Linked DNA regions of Macaca mulatta. The protein of the gene in region 1 interacts with the protein of each later gene in a biochemical or structural test. Links are inferred from orthologs where the notes say so. Each region holds a gene or a part of one and is shown in the gene's direction. Other genes may lie near its edges.

Evidence for each region.
Region 2: the proteins of GTF2E1 (region 1) and GTF2F2 form a complex in vitro, tested with the Homo sapiens proteins (2 studies listed by BioGRID). The link is inferred for Macaca mulatta from reciprocal best matches to the Homo sapiens genes GTF2E1 and GTF2F2.
Region 3: the proteins of GTF2E1 (region 1) and TAF6 form a complex in vitro, tested with the Homo sapiens proteins (2 studies listed by BioGRID). The link is inferred for Macaca mulatta from reciprocal best matches to the Homo sapiens genes GTF2E1 and TAF6.

What each region holds. Positions count from the first base shown.
Region 1 is NC_133407.1:162,993,865-162,997,969, reverse strand, and holds the start of GTF2E1 (general transcription factor IIE subunit 1), read left to right. Parts: upstream 1-1,162; 5' UTR 1,163-1,209; intron 1,210-4,105. Other genes in the region: RABL3 (rab-like protein 3), read right to left, coding at 884-929.
Region 2 is NC_133422.1:24,430,478-24,434,867, forward strand, and holds the start of GTF2F2 (general transcription factor IIF subunit 2), read left to right. Parts: upstream 1-1,578; 5' UTR 1,579-1,725; coding exon 1,726-1,791; intron 1,792-4,390. UniProt on the Homo sapiens protein: TFIIF is a general transcription initiation factor that binds to RNA polymerase II and helps to recruit it to the initiation complex in collaboration with TFIIB.
Region 3 is NC_133408.1:47,425,464-47,429,718, reverse strand, and holds the start of TAF6 (transcription initiation factor TFIID subunit 6), read left to right. Parts: upstream 1-1,443; coding exon 1,444-1,678; exon of another isoform or gene 1,679-1,712; intron 1,713-2,013; exon of another isoform or gene 2,014-2,493; intron 2,494-2,723; exon of another isoform or gene 2,724-2,858; intron 2,859-2,885; exon of another isoform or gene 2,886-2,900; coding exon of another isoform or gene 2,901-2,974; intron 2,975-4,204; exon of another isoform or gene 4,205-4,255. Other genes in the region: CNPY4 (protein canopy homolog 4 precursor), read right to left, coding at 1,509-1,623. UniProt on the Homo sapiens protein: The TFIID basal transcription factor complex plays a major role in the initiation of RNA polymerase II (Pol II)-dependent transcription.

The sequences.
Region 1 (4,105 bases):
GAAGAAAAGATAAGGGCAGTGAGGTGGGAGCTGGAAATCCAGAAGTCAGCTGTAGTTCTCAAATGTCCCAGGGGTCAAAATAATTTTTCTTTGCATCCATTGAGATAAAAAAAAATAATAATTTTAACACTAGGATTAAATTCGGCTCAGCGTTAAATCCTAGCTGCTTCAGAATAAAACTCTTACTTTAATTTCTCTATCGTACAGTCTAGGACATAATAGGTTTTCAATGAAGATCAAACGAGAACCAGGAAGTCAAGAAGCTCAGTTAAGAATAAAACAGGACCACCACCCAATACGTCACTGCGTATTTATAACTTAGCGTTTAAGTTTGTGGACTCTGCGTTCAAAAGGATTCTGCCACTCACATCTCTCTGCCTCACTACTCTCATCCGTAAAATGTGATCATAGGACTAATCTCAGAATTAAATGAGTTAATGTATGAGAAGCGCTTGCCAGTTCACGTTTGTCAGTGCACGTTTGACTTCCTTAATGAACAAAATCTCTTGAAGGCACGGTCCTACTAACTTCTGTACCCTTAACACAGAACTCCATACAATACTCAATGCCTGCCTTTTTTTTTTTTTTTTTTTCCAAATAAAATAACTGACAATACACTCCAGGCTGCAGTCTTCTGGGAGACTGATGTGGAAAGCCGCGAAGGAAAAAGACCCGGGCTCCGCGACCCCCACCCGCGCGACGCCGCCGCCGCCGCCGCGTCGTCACACGGAGCAAAGTCCCCTGGGAAGTGTAGTCTTCAGGACTTCGGAGGGACTTCAGCCACGGGCCGAAGAGCCAGGGAGTTGAGGGAAGGAAGGTAAGGGGAGGGTTACTGGGTAACTCAAAAGTGTCTGTAGCCCCAGAGGTGGGGTAAGACGCTCACCTGAGTCTCCCAACACCAGTACCTTCACCCGATCCAGGGACGCCATCTTGCCACTGCCTTCCTTGGGTTAACGCCTGTTCCGGGATTGTAAGCCAATCAGAGTTGGGCATGGAGGGCAGAGCTTTCAATTTCATTGGCCGCTCGGAGCGTGACTGTCTGAATCGAAGGCTTCACTGAGCTGATTGGCTGGTCTGGTAGCGGGGTGTTTCCCCAGATGGTCGCAGGAATAGTGCGTTTTCTTTGTCGCGTAAGAGGCGTGGCTCATTTAAGCCGGTAGTTGAAGAGCTGAGGGCAGCTGTAGTGGGAGTGTTCCAGGATTCGCTTTGGTAAACCTTGTTCCCTGTTCCTTGTTCGGAGTTCCCTGGCCGGGCATTGCATTTCATGATTTCTTCTTCCTTTCGCTCCCTCTTAACTGTCCTCCCCTATTGAATTACCCTCTTGCCTTGGTCCTCTTGGTTCTCCAAAGAACCATTGACCCCGGAACGGCCCGTGTGGGACCTCGGGTAGGGCGGGCTTGGGTGCGCCGAGTGTGGCCCTAGACCCAACTGGGAGAGTCCGAGGGAGTTTGGGGTCTCGGGGTCTCGCAGTGGGGAGGAGTGCATATCACCGAACGCGTCTCGTGAAGGGCAGCTGGGTCCGGAGGTTTCGCGGTAGTTTGCCGCTATGTGTTCAGTGAAGGCGTGGAAAGTGCCATGAAATGTGGTACCAGAACACCGCAGTTAGATGTGTAGAATCCCAGGTTGTTCTAGAACTGGCGTAGTGGTGTACTGAAGTAATCTAACTGGACTCTTCGCATCCAGCTTTTTTCTCCATTCTGCAGTCAGCGCACACTTTTAACATCGTGAATTTGATCCACTCACCTCCAGCTTAAAACTGTTTTAAATTTAAGAAGAGAGTGCCCAATAGCCTGTCCAATTCTACCGTGGAAGCAAGAGTGGAGGAAGTGAAGCGGGGGGAAGCTGGCAAAATGAGCCATGTTGGAACAACACGTGTCTAGGACACATAAGGAAAGTTTTATGGAAGTACTTGTCTGGCTGTGCTAGATACTGGAAATTAATTGGTGAACAAAATGAAGTCTGGTCTTAGAGATAGACATGGAGAAAGTACAAGAAGGGAGAAAGAGCCATGGAACATGTGAGAGGGGATGATTGTACGCTACCTAATGGGGAGTCTGGGAAGGCCTCTATGAGGAAACGTCATTTGAGACTTGAAGGATGATTAGGAGAAGGGGGTTGGCTTAGTTGTAGGGGCAGAAGGAACAGCTTGTGCAAAGCTGTGGTAAGCACGGAAAGCACATGTGGCTTATGGAATTGAGAATATGCTAGTGTGGCTGGATATGAGGCTGACAGAGTAGACAGAGGGCAGAGGGTGCATTCTTTTCAACTTTGTTTCTCTAGCTCCGTGTCTGGTGCACAATAGTCCTTAAATGTTTATATGATTAAAATACACGTGTCTGGACTGGGGTAGGGAGGTGAGGCTGGGATATGACTCATGGACTATGAAGATCAAAGGAAGAAACAAAAGGTCCTAGGAGGTACCACACTCAGAAGTCTCCAGAGACCAGCCATACTCCTTCCCTAATAATGCCAGCTGCTATTCGTCTTCAGCTTATTGTTTCCATGTGGGACCATGGGCTCACTTTTTCCTCAGATATTTCCAATTTTTCAGGAGGAGCTGGAAGTTGAAATTTATGTGAACTCTTACAATTTTTAAATGTTGACAACTAATTCAGAAAATTTTTGAAACATTTCTTTGGGTGAAACAATGCGTTGGGGGGCTGCCAGTTTGAGAATTCTTACCTAAGACCTCTAGAGATTGAGTAAGGAGATTCAGTGTGAGTGGGAAGTGGTGGAGGAGAGAAGTTAGTGGTCAGGAAGGAGGATTTTAGAATGCACAGATTTTGAACAAGGTGGCACAGCTTCATTTCATTCCTAAGCTCTAGTTTCATTTGTTCAGCTACCTGCTGGGCATATTCAGAGGAATATCCTATGGTATTTCCTCAGAGACACTTCTAAAAATGATTTCCTCATTTCTTCCATATCTGCTCCTCTTCAAGTGTCACCTATTTCTCATGGCAGTACTTTTCCTAGCTACACTGGCTCAAAACAGAGCTATTTAAGATTTTTCCTACTCTCATATTCTGTATCCAATATATTTTGTTGGGTCCTTGTTATTTTTTTTTCTGTAATAACTTTCATTCATTCTGTTCTCTTCTTGCAATTTTTTGCCTTCTTCCGTAGTTTGATTTTATACACCCAATACTTCCACATTGCCTCCACCTTCACCCATTTGAGTCCATTCTTCATATTGGTATAAGAGTCGTTTTTCTAAATAGGGGATTTATTATGAATGCCAGTACTGAATTGAACTCTTATGCCAGCCCTGAAAGCAGAACACTTTGCATTAATTATCTCACTGAGTTCATACATTAACTGTGTGAGCAGGGGACCGTTAATCACTTTTTTTTTTTTTTTGAGGGTCATGTCCTGTCACCTAGGCTAGAGTGCAGTGGCTCAATCATGGCTCATTGCAGCCTTGACCTCCTGGCTCAGTTGATCCACCTCAGCTGGTACTACAGGTGCACGGCACCATACCTGGCTAAGTTTTAAAATTTTTATAGAGGTGGGGTCTTACTGTGTTTCCTAGGCTGGTCTTCAACTTCTGGACTCTAGCAGTCCCCCCATCTCGGCCTCCCAAGGTGTTACAATTACAGGTATTAGCCACTGCACCTGGCCTAATCACTTTTTATATATAAAGAAACTGAGTCTGAGAATTTTCTGGGGTCAGGGGGGCTAAGAAATACTGGAACTGGGATTTAAACCCCAAAACTGTTGGATTGTAAAGTCTTCACATCACTCCCTGACTTTAGTCTTCACAGCTCCCTAGGGTGTTTTAGGCAAAGGAAACAGGCTGAGCGATTAGTGGCACAGGGACCTCTCCATGCAGGATGAGCATTGGCAGGATATATAGTAGGTACTTTTGCTGTATAGTAGAGCCACCTAAAGAGCTTTAAAAATTTGTGTGATGCCAAATCTGGCCGCCCCGAACCACCTGAGACAAAACCTTTAGGAATGGGGCCCATGGTCAGTATTCTTAAAACGTTCCCTAGATGATTCTGCTTTAAAACCAGGCTTGAGAACTATTAGTCTGGGACATGGCATGTATGGAGCAGGGAAGGAGAATACAATAGTAGGAAATAATCCTGGAAACAGGTTATGTTGA
Region 2 (4,390 bases), on another chromosome or scaffold:
GGCTGGTCTTGAACTCCTACCCTCAAGTGATCTTCCCATCTCGGTCTCCCAAAGTGTTGGGATTACAGGCGTGAGCCACTGTGGCTGGCCAAAAAAAATTTTGGTTTTAGTATTTATTTTTCAGAGACAGGGCCTTGCTCTGTCACCCAGGCTGGAGTGCAAGGCACGATCATGACTCACTGTAGCCTTGAACTCCTGGGCAGACACAATCCTCCCACCTCAGCCTCCCAAAGGTGGGGTTACAGGGTCCAGCCACTGAAACTTTCATTTTCGACACACTCCAGGTCTCTTCCCATCTTTCCTGTTAATTTTGCTAGCTAATCGCAGAGTTCTGACAGCTTTTCCTGGCCCTGTGCTGAACACACATAAAATTTCCTCAATTTTGTGCAAGGCTCTGATGTGTGATTCAATACATTACTTGCCCTTCTTAACAATACCTTACTGTTTGTTTCTCTTCAGCGAATGTTCTTTCACCCAAAGCCTGCTGAAACCTGACAATGTGTCAAACACTGTGCTATACATTGTGGATATAACATGAATAAAGCACCATTTTTTATTTGTAAATTATACCTCAATAAAGCTCTTTCTGCCTAGGAGGAGTTCGTTGTCTGGAAAGCAAAGGCAGATATGTAAACATATGTATTATAGTGCAGAGTGCTAAGTATCACACTGTGATGTGAAGAAAAACTAATTTCTTCTGGGGAAGTTGATAAAAGATCTCATAAGAAGTGACATTTCCATTGGTCTTGAACCATAAGTAGGAGTTTGCCAACCAGAGGAAAGAGTGGGAGTGAGGGCAGGGGTAAAAGAGGGCTTCCAAGGAAGGGAATCCAGTGTGCAGAGGCTCTGAAATGACCGAGGAAGATTCTGACGTGTTCCGGGAAGTCTGCTGGGTTTGGTGCGGTTCGGTGCATGGTGGAGTAATGGTGGGAGGGGAAAACGGATGAAATTAAGAGGGCCCAGTTGAAGCAGGAGGATTGAATTTTATTCTAGAGGCAAGAAGAGAAAGAGAAAACTTTAAGCAGGGGAGGAAACGATCAGTTTTGTCTCTTACTTGTTCGTTTCGTCACAGACCTTCGGGTTTTGGAATATGAGGTGCTCTGCTTGCTTAATCAGAGGAGCTCGGGCAGCCTCTGAGCTGAAACACGGCTTTCTTTTCAGGTCTAGAAACGGCATGTTTTCAATATACCCAGGGCTACCAAGTCTGATCCCAGTGCCCACTTGTGCTAATGACGTTGGCCAGGGGGGATGCCAATTTACTAACCTAAGCCTGTCCTTCAAATATTCTTTCTCTCTCTTTGGCTAGGGTTGGACACGTTCTGACAACTTTTGTCTCTTTGAACCCCGTTTTTCCGTTCTGATAATCTTTTTCTTCAGTTATGCTGGCCATGTCTTTAAATACGTTGCTAACGTTTTGGCTCATCTTACCCTATGTTTTAATCCCTCAGATACACACTACGCTGACAGCCACGCCCACCCAAGGAATTTCCGAAACAGAAAGTTTGTCTGCAACAGCGCGCCGTACGAACGTACAGTGCGCAGGCGCAGTCTGGCTACCGGCGGCGTGTTCCTCTTTCCCCCCGGTTTCCAGTGTCCTGGCAGGTAAGGAACGCCGCCTCTTCACCTCTCAGCGCGGCTTGCCCTTTGTTCCGGACGCCCACTTCTCAGCCCTCCGGCTCCTGGTGTCGCTGCTGTAGGCCACACGCGTCCACCGGCAACAGACCCATGGCCGAGCGCGGGGAACTCGACCTGACCGGCGCCAAACAGAACACAGGAGTGTGGCTAGTCAAGGTAATGTTCACGAGTCTCCCACTTGCGCTCCTCCTAACACAAGTATAATTTAAGTAACTTGAGCCCATCCCGCTCCGTGCACCTCTTAAAGTTCTTTTACGGCTATCTCGTTAGAGCTTCACATATTTTGAGAGGCAGGAGTCATTGTTGTATCTGTTTGCAGATGAGGAGATTAGTTTAGGGACGCAAAGTGTCTTTCAGCCGGTTACTGGTCTGAATCAGCCTGGACTAGATCTCTTTCTCACGGCTTTCCTGGAGCCCTGTCTTGGTGTTCCTAGACTTGGGCGGTGCATTTTATCCCAGACCGAAGAATTACTTGTATCTTTCCCTTGGTGAAACTGGTTTTAGCCATGAGCCTGTGTGAGGTAGTTGAATGTCTGCTTTCTGTACAGTTTTTTCGGCGAGAAACTAGAACTGGTCCCTGCGTACTCTTATTCTCTTAGGTAAATGGTCCTTAATGAAGCTCTCAAAAGAGGCGAGAGAGCCCTGAACAAACAGAAGGAGAGGTCAGGAGAGGTCATTGGACTGGAGTATTCTTTCAGAGCACATTTGGGTCTGATGAAACTGGCCGTCAATAAATGTTTTATGTAAAGACAGCAATTTTGGTTGGCTCACAGCGGGCACTATTTGTGCTTTACTGTTTCATGTTGGGAAGTGTTTTCTCCTAGGGGAGTTTCATAATACTTAAGCAAATTCAAAATGTGATCCTGAAAGTCGTTGAGACTTAAAATGTAAGGACTTTCGGTTTCTTAATGCTTTAACTGATTTATCATATGGCTGAGTTCTCGTCAATTAAATCTAAGAGGTCTTTCTTGTCGGCCTTCTTAAAAATGGCTCCCTTATGATCATTTGCTAACACGACAGATCCGTATTACATTCTTTCTTTTCTTTTTTTCTTTTTTTTTTTTTTTGAATCAGAGTCTTGCTCTGTCGCCCAATCTGGAGTGCAGTAGTGCGATCTTGGCTCACTGCAAGCTCCGCCTCCCAGGTTCACGCCATTCTCCTCTCTCAGCCTCCCGAATAACTGGGACTACAGGCACTCGCCCCCACGCCCGGCTAATTTTTTGTATTTTTAGTAGAGACAGGGTTTCACCGTGTTAGCCAGGATGGTCTCGATCTCCTGACCTCGTGATCCGCCCGCCTTGGCCTCCCAAAGTGCTGGGATTACAGGCGTGAGCCACCGCACCTGGCCGTTACATTCTTCAAAGCACTTTTCACAGTGTAGAGTGATTTTGTGTTAATATGTTCAAAGTTGGTTACCTCCGTCTTTCCAACACACAAAATCACATTCCATGAGATTGGATCTTTGCCTGTCATACCCAGAATAGTGTTTGGCACATGGTAATTACTCAACAAAAAGGTGATGAATAAATGCATGACCTCTCATTCTTTAACCCTCGCCTTAATCTGTGGCACTGATTTGACTTATTTCCAAGCTCAGTGTGACTTAAAAGGATGAATTAAATAGGCATTTCTCTCTCCAGCAGCGTGTTAATTGGAGGAGAGTCACTAAGGAGGAGATGGCCCTTGCAGACTGAAGGAAAAAGCTTGAAAAAATGGTGTGACTTGAGATGGTGCCATTGTTCTAGGAGCATGGTAAATGCTCAGTGTTTACGCCTTACAGGATTTGGGTGGGTGGACATAGCATATACCATGGGGAATGGAACAGAAATGCAAGACTCAAAATACATAATCAGCATGGTGTGTCGTGGAAAACAGAGAGAACCTAGAGCAGAAGATCTGTGTAGATAAAGGTTGGGACCATATACTCAGATTGTCATATCATGAAACGGAGATGTTCTAACTTTAGTTTACAAGGAAGTAACAAACTTTTTGGAGGATTTGAGTGAGGGAGAGATGCCAAATATTTATTCAGAAAAAAAAAAGTTTGGCAGTGTGCAGTACGAATTAGAGGGGAGGGTAAGTAACCAGAGTCACATTTAGAAAATCATCACAGGATTGGGCCGGGCACGGTGGCTCACACCTGTAATCCCAACACTTTGAGAGGCCGAGACAGGTGGATCATGAGGTCAATAGTTTGAGACTAGCCTGGCCAGTATGGTGAAATCCCATCTCTACTAAAAATACCAAAATTAGCCGGTTATGGTGGCATGCGCCTGTATTCCCAGCTACTCAGGAGACTAAGGCAGAAGAATTGCTTGAAACTGGGAGGCGGAGGTTGCAGTGAGCTGAGATTGCTCCGTTGCACTCCAGCCTGGGCAACAGAACAAAAACTCCATCTCAGAAAAAAAAAAAAAAAGAAGTAGTAACTTGTTGCTTAGAAAGTGTGTCTTCATTCTCATCTCATCAGAATTTTATTTGAACTACGTATTGATTTCAAGTTTTTTCTCCTTACATTAATATTTTCTGTTAAAAATAATACCTTGAGTTCTGATCTTTGTTGCTGAAAAATGTTTCTTCCTAGGATATATCAAGGTCATCTTGTACATATTTAATTCCATCACCAGTTACAGAACTGTGTAAATGCAGTAAGGACTGTACATACAAGATCTCTTAGAGTTTTGAGCAGGAAAAAAATTAATGCTTCACCAGAACTGGAAAGACATCATAGAGAAGGTGATGTTTAAGAAGAGCCTGT
Region 3 (4,255 bases), on another chromosome or scaffold:
GAGGCCAAGAGACTGAGACCATCCTGGCCAACATGGTGAAACCTTGTCTCTACTAAAACTACAAAAATTAGCTGGGCATAGTGGTGGGCGCCTGTAATCCCAGCTACTTGGGAGGCTGAGGCAGGAGAATCGCTTAAACCCAGGACGCGGAGGTTGCAGTGAGCTGAGATTGCACCACTGCACTCCAGCCTGGGCAACAGCATGAGACTCTGTCTCAAAAGAAAAAAAAAAAAAAAAAAAATATATATATATATATGTGTGTGTGTGTGTGTGTGTGTGTGTGTGTGTATAATAAATACAATGGGATAATAGTATGTCCCTCATAGGAGTGTGATGAGGATTAAATCAACATATATAAAGGCTGGCACATAGTGAGTACTGTATAAGTATTCACTGTTATCCTGCAGTTATTTATTGAGCTCCTTCTGTATGCATACTAACAATATAACAGCAATAAAACCTATTATCTCTATCTACAGGTCTCTGTCAGTGTAGTTGGGACAGATAAACCAAGGATGACAAGATATGGTGAAGCTGGGCCTGAACTCATGGGCTCAAGTGATCCTCCCACCTTGGCCTTCCCAAGTGCTGGGTTTACAGATGTGAGCCACTGTGCCCAGGCCTGTTGGCTGTATTCCGATAGAAGGCCTGCAGAGGTGTTAAAGCAAGGACTGATACAATTAGGTGATTAAGTCTGTTTAAAAAGATTGACAAGTCAGGGGAGAAGAGCGGGACACGGAGGTGAAAGGAGACAGAGATGAGGACTAAGTCATGAGACTATCATGACTGCCTTTCATGATACTGAAATACAGTTTTGTGGGGGTGAAGAGAAGAGAAAAAGAATCCAGGGAAGAAACGTAAAGTCAGGAGGGCAGCAAACTAGGGCATCAGGGCCAGTCCCCTTTCTCAAATGGGCCCCACACTAGTGCAGCTGTGGAAGGTGCTGCTTGCTGAAAAATCCATATAGTACGCACCGTCTGCAAAGTCTCACCGGATGGGGAACCTCTCCTACTTGTACGGCCTCCTTTTGTTTATGAGCTTCAAAGGCTGAGTTACTCACCCTCAAACCCCCTCAGGGGGGCGTGGGGCCTGTAATTTGGGAGCGTCTATGCTAGGGTAGGGCAGCGGATGTCCACAAGGCCTGAGCCTCACACCCGGCTCCTGCAGTCTCTGCAGATTAAGGTCTGGTGACATGAGGCAAACACGCACTGAAGATGCTCTAAAAGTTGGCAGTCCAGGGCCGATGGTCCCTGAACTACAATTCCCACAATCCATTGGCGGGGGTGTCCAAGCCAGCCAAAAAAATGCAGGCTCTCTCTGGATGCAGCTTTGAGGTGGCACTACACGTTCGCTTCCTTGACCCCATCCAAATTCAGCCAAGCTCCACCAGAACCTCCCTCAAGCCTTCAAGGAGGTCGGGTGACCCACCCAATACAGTCCAGGATGTCCGGCCTAGAAGAAGGAGGTGTGGCCGGGCGATGCCCACAGGGGCTACCCCCTTCAAATACCTTCGCATTTGCTGGGCAAGCGTTCTGCGTCATCGTCGTCCTCTTTCGGCATCCCAGCCCAAGCCCCGTGCACGGCCAAAAGGAAAACCAATATTCCCAGTCGCACAGGTCCCATGACAAAGCGCCGTCCACAAACAACCACCGCTTGCCTTCAAACCAACTTCGGAGAGGCAGTGTGGGTCCTTTAAATTCCCAGCGGCTGGCGGCAACCTTAAATCCAGCCTGGCAAGATCGGCGCATGCGCAAGATCAGCCCAACAGGGGTGCGGCCTCGTTGCTCCGGGTTTCCCTGCCTCCGTTTTGTGGCGCCTCTTGAAGGTCCTGGCAGCCGGGTAGTGAAGGAATAAATTACACTAATTACATCAAGAGGGAGTGGTCCTTATATGTAGATGTAGAAACAAATTTTTAAAATATAATTTCATTCTGTAAGCCTAGAGGACTTATTCTGGCACGGGGAAGGGGCAGTGACTTGCTCTTCGGTTCTGCCAGGACCTGCTTCCAGGAGGGGGCGGGGCCAAGATGGCGCCGAGCGCCGGTTGAGCGGCGTCCCGGCTGCGGCTAGAGTTTTCTTGCTGCCCGTGCTCGGCTGGCCGGGGCGGGTCTGAGTGGTACCCGGGAGGAGACCCTTTGAAAGTCCCTTGTGGGGACTGGAAAGAGGACGGTTGGTTGTGTGTCTGTGCTCGTGGGGACCCCGTGTGTGTGCCTGCATAGGAGAGATGTTGCAGGAGATGGGGTGGACTCTCTGAGCCTCATTTCGCGCTGCCCGGGGATCTTCGACCTGCTTCTCTGCTGGGATCTCGCTCAAGTTAACCCTCCCCTGGGACGCCTTCCTGCCGCCTCCACTTGATCTGAGGAGATCCTGTGACTGTAGCGTGTTTTATGAGCCTTTACTGGCAGAGGGTACCGCCGGGTATTGAAGGATTCGTAGGAGTTCGCCAGGGAAGTGGGACACGACCGCCTCTTGTAAACCCGGCGCCAGGCACAGAGTATGTCTCCAATAATTGTGTTTCCTATAGATAAGACTTATAAAAGTGGGGAAGGAGATTAGGGATGGTTTGAAAAGAACTAATTTCTTTTTCGGCCTCCCTCTTCCCATCCTTCCAGCACGGCCCCACCCTACTTGTACTACTCCTGAACAGTATTGATGTTAATCTTCCTAATGTCCAGCTCCAAGTGTGCCACTTATTTTATTTTATTTTATTTTATTTTGAGGCAGGATTTCCGTCTGTTGCGCAGGCTGTTGTGCAGTGGCACCATCTTGGCTCACTGCAGCCTCCAACTCCTCAGTAGTTCAAGCGATCCTCCCGCCTCAGCCGCCTAAGTAGCTGGGATGACCGGTTCACCCCACCACGCCCGTCTAATTTTTTAATTTTTGCAGAAATGGGGGTCTCACATGTTGACCAGTCTGTCTCAAACTTCTGGCCTCAAACGATCCTCCCACCTCTGCCTCCCAAAGTGCTGGGGTGAGCTACCTCTCTTGGCTCCAATTTGCTTTTTTTTTTTTTTTTTTTTTTTGAGACGGAGTCTCCCTCTATCGCCCAGGCTGGAGTGCAGTGGCACGATCTCGGTTCACTGCAACCTCCACCTCCTGGGTTCAAGCGATTCTCCCACCTCAGCCTCTCAAGTAGCTGGAGTAGCTGGGACTACAGGCGCCCGCCACCATGTCTGGTTAATTTTTGTGTTTTTACAAAAAGACAAGGTTTCACCATGTTGGCCAGGGTGGTCTCGAACTCCTGACCCCAGGTGATCTTCCCACCTTGGTCTCCCAAATTACAGGCGTGAGCCACTGCACCTGGCTCCACTTTGCTTTTAACTACAGTGTAGGCTCAAAGCTTGGGCCTATGACCTATTAATAACAGTGATACCAAGTATTTACTGAGCACCAACATCTCTAAGCCTTACAACTAATTCATTTACTTCACAAATATTTATGATGTCCCAGGGCTCCTGGAATACATCAGTGAACATAATAAAGAGCTCTGTTGGCCAGGCACAGTGACTCACGCCTGTAATCCCAGCACTTTGGGAGGCCAAGGTGGGCGGATCACCTGAGGTCAGGAGTTCAAGAGTGGACAACAAGAGTGAAATTCTATTTCCAAAAAAAAAGAGAAGAGCCCTGTTTACATGGTGGACAGAGACGGAGTCTCACTCTGTTGCCAGGCTGGAGTGCAGTGGTGCAACCTCTGCTCACTGCAACCTCCGCCTCCCGGGTTCAAGCGATTCTCCTGCCTCAGCCTCCCGAGTGTCTGGGACTACAGGCGCATGCCACCATGCCCGGCTAATTTTTGTATTTTCAGTAGAGACAGGGTTTAACCATGTTGGCCAGGATGGTCTTGATCTCTTGATCTCATGATCTGCCGGCCTCGGCCTCCCAAAGTGTTGGGATTACAGGCGTGAGCCGCCGCGCCAGGCTCAGAAGATGTTAAATGCTACGGAAAAGAAGAAGTGGGCTGCCCCCACTCTGAGGGCAGACTGCAGAGTTAAATAGGGTGGTCAGGGTAGGCAGCCAATTAGACATTTGGGAGAACATTCCAGGCAGAGGGAATGGAGCAAAAGCTATTAAGTGCATGCCTGGCAAGTTTAAGGAGCAGCCAGAAGACATATGTGTCTGGATCAAAGTGGAAGAAGGAAGGAAGAGTGATCAGAGATATAATGGGGAGAAGGCAAATTTTGAAGGGCTTTGTGGGACATTATAAGGATTTTGTCTTTTTTTTTTGAGAAGGAGTCTTGCTTTGTCACCCAGGCTGA